3 linked regions of the Tribolium castaneum genome follow. The protein of the gene in region 3 purifies or fractionates together with the protein of the main gene of each other region. This does not show direct contact. Links are inferred from orthologs where the notes say so. Each region holds a gene or a part of one and is shown on either strand. Other genes may lie near its edges. The genes, in order: polo, dual specificity tyrosine-phosphorylation-regulated kinase 2 and hyd.

Region 1 (4,144 bases), about 1.1 Mb from region 3:
GTTCTGTCAATTAATGCTTCGACTAACGTAGACATTTTTATGAATTCGTAGTATTATTTAGACCGTATCGCTTTACAATTGCAGACTATACTTTACAACAATCGCCTATTGCCTGGGATAAATTTAGAAACAATTTTTTTCATTAAAATTTGAATCGAAGAGCTCTTGAAGCTTGCGGGCCCTTTTAGGCTCCGGGCCCGGGTTCCACGGAACCCCTGTGGATACGCCACTGGTGTCAACCACTCGCAAACACAACATGCTTTTCGACTAAATGCTGTGGTTTATCGGCCTATTATAACAAAATTTTGCTAAAAAACGCGATAAATCGAAAAAAACTCAATGTCTATTTATTTTGTGATTTTTACGAGTCTTTTAACAAGTTCTAGCAAAGTAAATCAGTCTGAACTTAGAAAAATATAAGACAACTTCAATTTTGATCTAATTCGGAGATGTTTCATCCATTTCTCGGTAAATTTTTCGAAAAAAAAAAAAAACTCAAGAGTTGAAGAATACTAAAGTAACACCCATTTTAGTAAAATTAGGTGACTTTTCGGTCTGTTTTTTTAAACGTGCTAAAAAAAGACAAAACGAAATAATTTTAGATTTAAATTTTTAATTTTCGGTCACTTCTAGCAAAAAAAATAGAGATTTTAGCCCTAAAACATGTCTAAATACTCAAGAAAGGCAGAAATAACGTTATTTTTGATCAGAATTTATTGTTGTAAAAAATTTTTGAGTATTAATTAATAATTGAATCTCTGGTTAAAATATTCTAATTTTTACCTACCTTTAGCAAAATTTTTCTAAAAAAAATTTAGTTAATATCTCAAAACATGTTTAAATATTCGAAAAACTCAGAATTCACACAATTTTCAGTGTGACTTGGTGAAATTTCGGTTTGTTCATTACAAAATACCATTTGGAAAAGAAAAAAGAATATTTTACTCAGCTAAATTTAGAAAATTCATAAGAAACTCCAAACACTTGCTTAGAAAATATAAAAATAACACACTTTGCGACCAAACTTTTATCTTTTAAGCTTACTATTGATGAAATTTCGCCCAAAAACGTGATAAATCGAAAAAAACTGACATCAATTCCAAATAAATCAGCCTCGAACTAAAAAATATAAAATAAAAATTTCGATATATTCGGTGAATTTTCATCCACTTTTAGGTATATTTTTTGAAAAAAACTTAATTTTTAACTCAATGAAAGTCGAAGAACACTAAAATAACACCCATTTTAGTATATGTTTTGGGTGACTTTTCGACTTGTTTTTAAGAGATTTCGCGAAAAATTTGCGTTGCTGGTGAAAAAAAAAAAAACGAAATAATTTTGGATTCAAACTGGTAATTTTTCGGTCTCAAAAAACAGGTTTTAGCTCTAAAACATGCTTAAATGCTCAAAAACAGGCAGAAATAACATTACTTTTGATTAAGATTTATTGTTGTAAAAAGTTCTTGTGCAATAAATGAATCTCTGGTTGAAATAATCACATTTTCGCGTAAATTTTTCTAAAAAAAAAACTTAGTTTTTATCTCGTGTACACAATTTTCAGGGATAATTCCTTTATTGGCTGTAAATGGAAAAGGAAAAAAAATGTTTCAGTAAATTTAGTGATTTTTACAAGAAACTAAGAATGTAAGTTCAAACACGTGTTTACTGGCTTGGAAAAAAACGAGCAAAATCGAATAAAATAAGCTAAATTAAATAAATTTCGCTTTAATTTCATGATTTTTCAGCTAGGAAGCTCAAAAGATAAGAGTAACACAATTTTATCAATAACTGTGTTTGCTTTCTGAAATATTTTCCAAAAAACTTTGGCAAGCACTTTGTTTACTTGTAAATTTATCAAAGGTTTTAAGGAATACCAACTAGGGCCTAAGGTACCAAAGTCATCTACGAGCCCCCATCATAGCCCCCATTCATAATTTACCCTTCTTATTTATGTACAATAAAAATGGTATTTTAATATAATTTTTTTGCTACAATCTTTTCCATTACGACTTGAGTCAAAAGAGGTTTTGAAATTAATAAACCTGGAAACTGTAGTTAGAACTACCTCCCTAACTTAGAAACCCAAGTATAAGCGCCACAAGTGATACCAACATGAATAATTAATTATACAAACTACAGTGTCTTAAAGAGGTGGACTGTTGTTTAATTTACCAATTAATTTAGCTCTTTGTTTGTGCAACCATTGGCCATGACAGACATCAGTTTAAATATTAGTTTTGGTGATAAAACTATCAATATTATAGTTTCCCATAATACAGAGTGAGCAGCGATAACAACCAGGAAACAGACGCAGTTTAAAGGGCCAAAAACTCACCCGCTTTCTGCACAGCTCCAAAACTATATAAATATTGTCCGTATCCTCGAAAAAACTATAAAAACCGACAATATTTTTGTGTTTCAACGACTTGTGTATCTGTATCTCCTGAGTCATTTTCTCCTTCTGGTTTTCCTTGACTATCAGCTTTTTCGAGACGACTTTCCCGGCGAACGTTTGGCTGTTGGCCACATTCGTAATTTCGTAGCATTTTGCAAATCCGCCCTAAGAAAAAACGGCCACTATCACATGAACCCATCGACAAAAACAACACTAACCTTGCCGAAGAACTGCCCCTTTTTGTACCTAATTTTCGTGTTCTCGTCGTATATATAGTCGGGAACTACGACATAATCGTCCACTTTCGACATTTTCACTAATTACTCCTAGTTTTATTCACAGTTATTGCGTTTGGTTGGGTTTTTACGGCAAGCATCCACCACGGCTTGAAAAACTTTTGGCAGTTGAGAAGATTTCAAACGCCGGCAGCTGATTGGCTGATTGGACAGGAAAATGGTGGGGAAAAAAGAATTGTCAACGGAAGTGACTACTTGCAGAACGCGATCTCTAACCACCAAACAAAAATAGACCACAATAAAATACACAAAGTGGTTTATATTGACTCAACAACTTTGGTTTGGTCGATCAAAAATTGGGCCAAACGCTGATCTTGACCGTATTTTAAATTTAGTCTATCAAAACATTGATTTATGTGTTATGCAACTCACAAAATGCTTCTGCTGAGGGCGTTGCCTAGCTAACAACCTAACAATTAATATTAAAAAAAAACTAAACAGAAATTTATACAGGACTGTAGGCCGCGCATTCAGGCAGGGCGAAGGCCTACTCCTAAAATTCTTGTTCTTCCTAGACAAATTTTATACGTTTTATAAAAATTTATAAAATATAAAATTTTAACTTTGCGTTGTCTACACTTTTTCAAAAACACCATAAACATGTACGTATTTTTATTTTTGGGGAAGTCAAAACTGCAAAGCGTCATCTGTTATGCAACATCGAATGTGTATGATTTATGAGAACACTGTTTTTTCACAAAAAAATAAATCTGGCAATTATTATTACTGCACTTGGTTTTCGAGGAAAAAAAAAGGCACACGGGAAATTTATTTTGACTTATTTTTATTAGAGTTTAATAATAAACGAGAAAATGTTTGACGAATACAAAGTGTTCTGTCTAAACTAAGTTTCGGAGTATTGAAAAAAGTACTGAAAGTTTTGATAATAACATTTATCTGAAAATTAGCCTAGAGCCATAGCTCATTGATTGAAAATATTTTCAAAATGGCGGCACTTCCGATTGTATCGAAAATCGCTATGAACTTTTTTATTAGCTTTTTCCTATTCCTAAATTTAGCTATTTTCTAAATAATCAGAATTTTTTGGAAATTTTTGGATTTGCACCTTTCACTTCAATAATCGTAAATTCTGCTATTTTTAGAATTTTAGAAACAGTATTTGGCCAATCAAAAACAAAGCCTAAATCTTTCCTTCAGTGTGTTCAAAAAAGTTTACAAAATCCAAAATCTTAACGTTATTTTTGGACAGCTTCTACATGCTATAAGTTTTTATTTCACTAAATAGAAGAAAATTTAATTCTGCAACGATCTGTGTTGGCATTTCTTATGCTTATTTGTGATAATTTTCAAGTTATGTTAATTTTTTTGACATTGCTAGCCACAGATATTTTTGCGCAGTTTGACAAAGAAACATTTCATTGAATAAACGATAAATTCTGTTCAAAATTTTGTTTTCCTTTCCGTTAAAACAAAATGAATTCATTGAATTTGG
Region 2 (4,417 bases), on a different chromosome or scaffold from region 3:
TTCAAATTTTTTTCGGCATTATTTTTTTTCAAAGTTGGCCGTTTTGAAAAAAAAGAACTTTGCGTGAGTGAGAGGCTTGATACGACATCTGTAGTTTGTCCATCAAAACTACACAACTAAAGGCCGCTTCACAAAACAATTAATTAATGTGACGTAAGTAGCAACTTAATTCGAATTAATTTATTCTTGAATTATAAGTTTTAATCCGCTTTTTTTAAATATTTGCATTCATATTTTAATTCGCGTAACAATTTAATTTGAGTTAATTTAGCATTAATAAATCGATGAAAGTCCATTTTGGATATTGCATCTTAGTTGGAGAATTGTTCGGCCCCCACTGCGTGCATTCGTGTCTCTTGAGAAATTAGCTACGCCAAAACCATTAGAAGATTTTGTAATAAAATAACCAACAGTTGAGTTGAAGCTCAACTAGAATTCGCTTTCTGGTTGGGAAACAAAAATTTGAACCCATTTATTGCGTTTACTTTTATTGTAAAGTAAATTATTTGCGAATGAAAACAATAAAATGTCGGTTCATGTATCATTGCACTTGTAACGAAATTGATTTGTCGATCGAGACGTCTTAATTGATTCGCCAAGCAATCACATTGCTGAAAAACTGGTTCTGCGGCGATGTGTGAATGCAATTGCAGGGCCTGGGCCAACCCACTCGCATCTCCCAAACCACTTCCCTGATAGTGGGGACATTTCACCGAATACTCCACCAAACAAAGCGGTCAAAGCGTCAAAAGACGCACTCTTTTCGTCTTTGTGACACTCATAAATAATAATAATAATAAATAATAAGATTATGTATTGCTGTAAAGAGCACTTTTGGCACAATTATAAGACAAAATATTGTTTTATATCCGATTTTGATATTGTTTTTGATTAAGTGGATATTGTATTGCTGGTTATACCTGCCTGTCTATACTTTGTAATACGATTACCTTTTGTTCTGAAAGTTTTGTGTAATTCAATCGGCTTCACAGTTGTTGATGCAGTTCTATATTTCTTTGTTGTAGAAAAATGAAATCGTAAAATGTATGATGTGATTTTCTACGTTCCAATGTCGGCCAATACACAATAGAAAATAGTTATTGAAAAAAAGTTAGTTTCCAGTGCAGACATGCAATTAGTCACGTTGTCTCATCATCGCTTCCTGGTAGTGAAAGTTAATAACATCTGATAAGAACTCGCAGATTATCATCCACACGATAAGCTTTGGTGGTTTGAAATGTAGTAGCAAAGCAAATCATTTACCACCTGCCTACTCACGAAATTATCTTTTAATTTGTTTTAAATGTTTAGGTACAGTTAAGTTTCGAGCTTTGAAAATACAAATATTATGAGAAATTTTTGGTTTTTGTTTTCTCTGTATGAAATTATGATTTTTATGTGAAAGCACTACAAGTGTGGCATTGTGTAGTGATTTCGATTATATTGACGTAATTACGCCGGCTGGCATAACTTTTGAGAAGTCAATGACCCTTAATTGTTGAGTCAAGGACGAACTGGCGTGAATATATTTTTCGGAAGGGTTTTGTGAGGGGTGGAAGTGAATAAAGTGGTGAAAAAACGTAAAAGTGTTTGTTTTCTGTTTATTGTGTGCAAATGATTGATAATAAGCGGAGTAAAAAAATATTTGTTTGAAATTTCGAAAATGGGCGGCTCTAACTGGCTGGGATAGACCAATGGTGTCCGGGTAAATTTGAGTCGAGGAGGGTCGAAGACGGCCGAGAGGTTTTGTGCAGGCAAGCAGCGCCACCAGTTGGAGCACTAGCACTAGATCGGAAATATGGCTGTAAAATAACCAAAATCCCTTTGTTATAGTTAAAATGTTTTTGTATTAAAGTGGAGGCCAAACGCGTGTCGCTGGTGGTTGGCGGCTCAGGATGTGGAAAAGGGTCCAGTGCGAGTAAGTCCGTGTATTAGTTAGTGGTGCGTGCTAGTGATGGTTGGCCATCAACCTCTGGGCTTGGGGAAAATGAAACGCGCTAGAGATGTCTAGCGCTGCAGTGGCCAACTCGTTGAAGATGCCGATGTCCCGCACCCAGCTGTTCTCCTCGCACTCGTACCTGGCCGAGGGGGGCGGCCTGCCCCCGCTGAAGCCGGCGGCGAAGGAGCAGAGCCCGCCCGCCGCCGCCGCCCCCGGCGGGCTGCCCGAGCTGCAGGTGGTGGGCTCGTGCGCGCTGCAGTGCATGCAGCCGCACATGCTGCGCCCCAAGGGCTCCCCCGGGCCCCCCGACAAGCACAAGACCATGGTGGCCACCCCCGACCAGGTGATGAAGCTCTACATGAACAAGCTGACGCCCTACGAGCACCACGAGATCTTCAACTTCTCCCAGATCTACTTCATCGGGGCCAACGCCAAGAAGCGGCCCGGGATCATCGGAAACCCCAACAACTGCGAGTACGACAACGACCAGGGCTCCTACCTGCACATTCCCCACGACCACGTCGCCTACCGCTACGAGGTGCTCAAGGTGATCGGGAAGGGCTCCTTCGGCCAGGTGGTGAAGGCCTACGACCACAAGAACCACATGCATGTGGCCCTCAAGATGGTCCGCAACGAGAAGCGCTTCCACAGGCAGGCTCAGGAGGAGGTGCGCATCCTGGAGCATCTCCGGAAGCAAGATAAAGACAACACGATGAATATCATACATATGTTGGATTCGTTCACGTTTCGTAACCACATGTGCATCACTTTCGAACTTTTGTCCATCAATCTCTATGAACTTATCAAGAAAAACAAGTTTCAGGGCTTTAGTCTACAGCTAGTACGCAAATTTAGTCATTCGCTACTACAATGCCTTGATGCGCTTAACAAAAACAAAATTATACACTGCGATATGAAACCGGAAAATGTTCTGCTGAAACAACAAGGAAGAAGTGGACTCAAGGTTAGTACAACCATGCTACACCCCCCAAATTCACAACAATGCCAAAAACTCACATCCACGTGTGGGTGGAACACATGCATTTCAAAAACTACAAAACAAACCTAACAGTTTTAGTTTTTTATTTTTATTCATATTGTGGGGTTGAAACTGGGCTAGAAATGAAATTGTACATTTATCAATTTTTTATCGAAATTTAATTCGGATTTAATGGACAACAAAGACTAACTTTACATATCGCACATCCGGAAGAGAGGCAAAACTAATTAATTATTAAAAATTTCAAATAAATTTGCCGGCTCATGGCTGCAATATAACTATATCTTTCGGTTTTATATTACGAAAGATAATTATTTAATGTTTGACATTTTTGCACGTGCGAATGTTCTTCCGCAGGTGCGATTAATTATCGCAAAAATATTCGCATAGTTATGTGAAGATTTGCAAAATTGGCAATAACACTTTTTCCTCTGATAACATTTACCATCAGAGATTAGGTAAGTATTTAAAATGTGCACACTCACGGGGAAATTCGTAATCTAAATCTTCGTCACAGAAATGTAGGAAACTGAGGAAATTGAATAAACATACAGGGTTGTTCTAATAATAATAATAATAATAATAATAATAACTCTACACGTAGTAAAAAAAACACGTCAACAGATACATTAAAATGACAACCGAAGTGGTACTTAAAATCTACAAATTTTGGAAATTTTTTTGAAAACACACGATACAAAGTATTAATCTATGAGTTCTGTTCGTTATAACCGGGTCCCACTGTAATAGTTTTGGGAACTGCAGTTGTCGGAGGATAATTGCCAGTAGTTTGGAACATTTATTGATGCTCAAAAACTGATCGAGTGCAGATATGGGAAAGCATTGCTATTCTATAATAAATAAATGGGAAGTGTGGTAAAAAATAAATCACTCTTGATTTTGTCTGAGCCAAATAAAGCGTAACTCAACATTATCCGTAACTACAATCTAGCAATTGAAAGACTATAACTAGTTATTAACAATAAGTCTGACTTCCTGTTTGGTCCAGGTATTTATTATCCTGTATATGCTTCACATAGACTGGTCACGATATTTGATGCATCGTTGCTTTTTCATTATAGTTGTAGAAATGGTGGTTTTTTGTCACTGAATACAATAGTGAAAACAAAGAAAAACATGTTCTTACTGAGACAAAATTAAAATTAAACGCCAGAGGAACTGTGCTACAATAAATTTAAACTCGGCGACACTAATCTAAACTTAGCTTTCTAAACAAAACAATGATTTCTTGTTTTGGTTAATTGATCAGATTAGAACGTGATGAATACCCCGATTGTTTTGAATATAAGGCAAACCGCAAGTTTAATACAATTTTATCGTATTCAGTTACCGAGTGCAATATTCGCCAATATCGATCGGTTTTGACAAGAGCACTTTCTACGAATTGATTGTATCTCAGCGAAAGATTGTCACTCTTGACAGCCATAAATTTGGACTTTATTATTTTAGAAACTGCA
Region 3 (3,459 bases):
TCAGAGAAATGAAAAATCCAGATGCGAAACAAGCCCAATACGCCACAATGGTTTCGCGGCGATTCGTCCGCTCAGTTGTGCGTATTTTTGTCGTTTTTTCCATCGAAATGGCACCGAACTCGACGAAACGACGCAGTTTAAGCAACCAAAACCAACCGTTGACTAAATGTCGCAAAATATTCCAAGCTTTGAGCAAACTATCGATTGAGGAGCTGTGTGAGAGCGCTGACGCTATTATGGCACCGGTTCGATTGGGCGTAGCACGACCAACTGCCCCCTTTTCACTTGCAACATCCGTAAATGACGTTCTAAACGGATCGGAAGAATTATTCCTAGTTGATCCTTTAGCACCGTCGAGTTCACGACCTTCTGGGTCTTCAACAATGCCGCGGTTTCCGTTTTTGGCCGAAGCTGTGCGAAGAGCGGCCGCTAATGCACGCGATCTGGCAAACGCTCGCGATTTATTGAATTTGAATGATGGTGAAAGTATGGCGATTGATAATGACGATGATAATGCGTCCGAACATGAGGATGTTCCCGCTGATCGTGAATTGCCAATTACTGTTAGACAGTCGTCGACTAATGAAAATGAAACGGTCGAAGCTGCTCCGTACCAACAGGAAAGTCGAATCCAAGGCGAGGAAAGCGATCCCGAATTGGATCTGTTGGCGGAGACGGAGTCGGATAGTGATGATAATCATAGTAATCAGGATGCTGCATCTGCACAGAGGTCGGTACAGACGGGAGCAACGGCCGGATCTGATACCGGTAAGTCAATTTGATTGGTGGAGAGAAAGGGAGAGAGTGAGGAGCTAGCTCATACCTATATTAATCTATACTGCAAAAAAAAGACATAATTTAAAAAAACAATGTTTCAAACATCGCATTATCTTAATAACGTATTGCATTCAGCAATTTATTTCTTGTGTGCCGACGATACACACAGGGTCTAAGGCAGTATATTTTAATATAGGCGTGTGAGAGCGGGTGGTTGGTTGCATGTGTATGCAATTCTGTGTAACTTATCAGGAGGTATGCTGCTGTTCCCGGAAGACGAAAGCGGCGAGTCAAGCCAACAGGAAGAGGAAGAGAGCGAAGCGGGCGAAACTGACGAACAGGACACTGAAGATTATACGTTGACGGATGAACAGTTGGAGCGAAGAAGGTAAATTTGACAATTTTTCTTAGCATTTTTCTTCAAGTAATTTATTTTATTATGATTATTGGCTCTTGATTTAGTGATGTTTTTTGTGTTTCTCATTACTCTGATTATTGTCTATGAAAGAAGCCGTTACAGCAATACGACCGGTCATGGACAGAGGAGCAATTTGGCCCCGCAGAATATGCAATGGGCAATACGGTCACGTGAAGCAAGCAGATCGGCTGGTGTTCGATTGGCCAACGGTTCTAATTTAGTTTTTATTGATCCCAGTACGTTAAGACGATCTACGACTGGAAGTACGGCGGTCGCTGCAAGCTCGGAACCGGTGGCCATGTCCACATCGGCCAGTTCCTTAGCTAGGGCCTTCGGTAAGTACAGCTTTTACGTACTTGTATTTTTTAACTTACTAATCATTACAGGCGCAATTATTCGCCAAATCACGGACTTGTTATCCTCACTGCCTGACCTGAATCAAGCCTTGTCGACTGTTGCACACATGGAAGTGTCACAAGATGATATCTACAACATACAAGTGAGTTTTTAGTAATTTTTCTAACTGGACACATGACTGGTTGTTGCTTCGTAGATTTATCTAGAATTCCGCCTGAAGCCGACCTGGGATTGGCTTTTGACAGTGATGGACGCCACTGAAGCCCAACTGAAATTCGGTGCATCTCTAACCAATTCTCTCGATCTTTCGAGTCCAGGTCATCCGCTCAATACCGGAATTACGACCGGAGTCTCGGCAAATAATTCAAGCAATCTTCGATCGAGTGGTCACCGGGGTCATACCATTTCCAGTAGTTCTGGTACACGATTGGTCGGTTTTACCACAAACGTGGAAAGTCGAACTCGACCTGAACGCGATGGTGTGGACGCTCACGCGGCCCGGAGAGAATTTCTCTCCTATTGTTTGTCATTAATGAGAGCTCACAACAACGAACATTTGGATTCGTTACCGATTTTGGACGTTTCGGCTTTGAAACACGTTGCTTATGTTTTCGATGCTCTGATTTATTTTATGAGGTCGGGATCATCTGACCGCAATGATACTGACTTGCGACGTGATGGTTTTTCGCTTCCGTTGTGGAACGATCAAGACGAGAACGAGAACGAAGAAGCTGAGGAAGACATAGCCGTGGCAATGGAAACTGAAAGTTTGGAAGACCAAGATGTTTCTAATCTTGCGACGATTTCGAGTACTTTAAATTCGTCGAGTTTGCAAGGAGGGTCGGGAAAAGGTCGCAAACATTCGTTTTTCCAACGATCGGAATCCACTTTGTGTCTAGGTTGTCCTCCACCAGATCCTTTTGAAACGCCAATGGCTGAAGCACTACCACTGGCCGACCAACCTCATCTCCTACAACCCAATGCAAGAAGGGAAGATTTGTTTGGGATTCCGAAACAACCAATCACTTTGGCCTCCACTGGAACCATTTCAAACAATCCTCTCGAATCACTTCCTACGAAATTGAGTCTTTCGACTCGAACTACCGATTTTGCGATGAGTCAACCGGCAAAAGCCAACCACCCAATTTCCCAATCGTTAAACGTTATGGGCCCTAACCCCTTGATTTACCCCCAAAATTACAACCCAGAAACAGAAACAAACGCTCGAGAAGTGCACGTCCAGACTGAAACCTACTCCAACGAACCGTCAACATCCGATGAAACCAAAAACAAGAACTTGCAAACTTTTGAGAGTCTCCTCGCCGCTGTTAAGAATGAAATTGGCGAAAATAGCAAAGAAAACACTCCGCATGACTTATCCTCGCGACATAATCAAGAAGTACCGACATCGAGGCCGCAGATTATCGTCTCGCCGAGAAAAATTTCCGAAGTTTCGAGTCAGGAGCAACAAGAAGGTTTGAATGGTTCGAGCGAAGCCACACAGGATTATAGTAGTGGATCGACGACTCCATCCTCCAGAAGTCCAAGCAAGAGTGTGATAGTTCGAGCGGGATCGTCAATGGTAAGTTGTAGAAAAAATATCGCGTGGACCTACGATACGTACGCTCAAGCTTAACATAACGGGCGTATCACACTCAGGTCCTAGAACGAATTGCTCTCTGATGACTTTGGTTTGTCGAGCTTTGAACCAAGGACAGATACGGGGCATACATTTCTGTAAAATAATACAAGGCGTCTAACACCCAAAAATATTAAAATATATTTGGAACTTCCGATTTTTTTAAATATGACGTGATAAATGTGTTACGTTCATACTGAATGTGAGATTGTTTTTTGCAGAGTAATCAGCAAAAATCGAATGATTCGAACGTGATGATGTCTGTCGA

What was found.
Region 1: the proteins of hyd (region 3) and polo purify together in Homo sapiens (affinity purification with mass spectrometry; 4 studies listed by BioGRID and IntAct, with this or other methods). This does not show direct contact. The link is inferred for Tribolium castaneum from reciprocal best matches to the Homo sapiens genes UBR5 and PLK1.
Region 2: the proteins of hyd (region 3) and dual specificity tyrosine-phosphorylation-regulated kinase 2 purify together in Homo sapiens (affinity purification with western blotting; 3 studies listed by BioGRID and IntAct, with this or other methods). This does not show direct contact. The link is inferred for Tribolium castaneum from reciprocal best matches to the Homo sapiens genes UBR5 and DYRK2.

Annotation. Positions count from the first base shown.
Region 1 is NC_087398.1:11,007,967-11,012,110, forward strand, and holds the start of polo (serine/threonine-protein kinase polo), read right to left. Parts: upstream 2,842-4,144; 5' UTR 2,707-2,841; coding exon 2,614-2,706; intron 2,561-2,613; coding exon 2,336-2,560; intron 1-2,335. UniProt on the Homo sapiens protein: Serine/threonine-protein kinase that performs several important functions throughout M phase of the cell cycle, including the regulation of centrosome maturation and spindle assembly, the removal of cohesins from chromosome arms, the inactivation of anaphase-promoting complex/cyclosome (APC/C) inhibitors, and the regulation of mitotic exit and cytokinesis.
Region 2 is NC_087403.1:4,166,356-4,170,772, reverse strand, and holds the start of dual specificity tyrosine-phosphorylation-regulated kinase 2, read left to right. Parts: upstream 1-1,561; 5' UTR 1,562-2,003; coding exon 2,004-2,903; intron 2,904-4,417. UniProt on the Homo sapiens protein: Serine/threonine-protein kinase involved in the regulation of the mitotic cell cycle, cell proliferation, apoptosis, organization of the cytoskeleton and neurite outgrowth. Functions in part via its role in ubiquitin-dependent proteasomal protein degradation.
Region 3 is NC_087398.1:9,885,023-9,888,481, reverse strand, and holds part of hyd (E3 ubiquitin-protein ligase hyd), read left to right. Parts: coding exon 1-768; intron 769-1,029; coding exon 1,030-1,165; intron 1,166-1,285; coding exon 1,286-1,530; intron 1,531-1,581; coding exon 1,582-1,694; intron 1,695-1,748; coding exon 1,749-3,134; intron 3,135-3,158; exon of another isoform or gene 3,159-3,287; intron 3,288-3,412; coding exon 3,413-3,459. UniProt on the Homo sapiens protein: E3 ubiquitin-protein ligase involved in different protein quality control pathways in the cytoplasm and nucleus. Mainly acts as a ubiquitin chain elongator that extends pre-ubiquitinated substrates.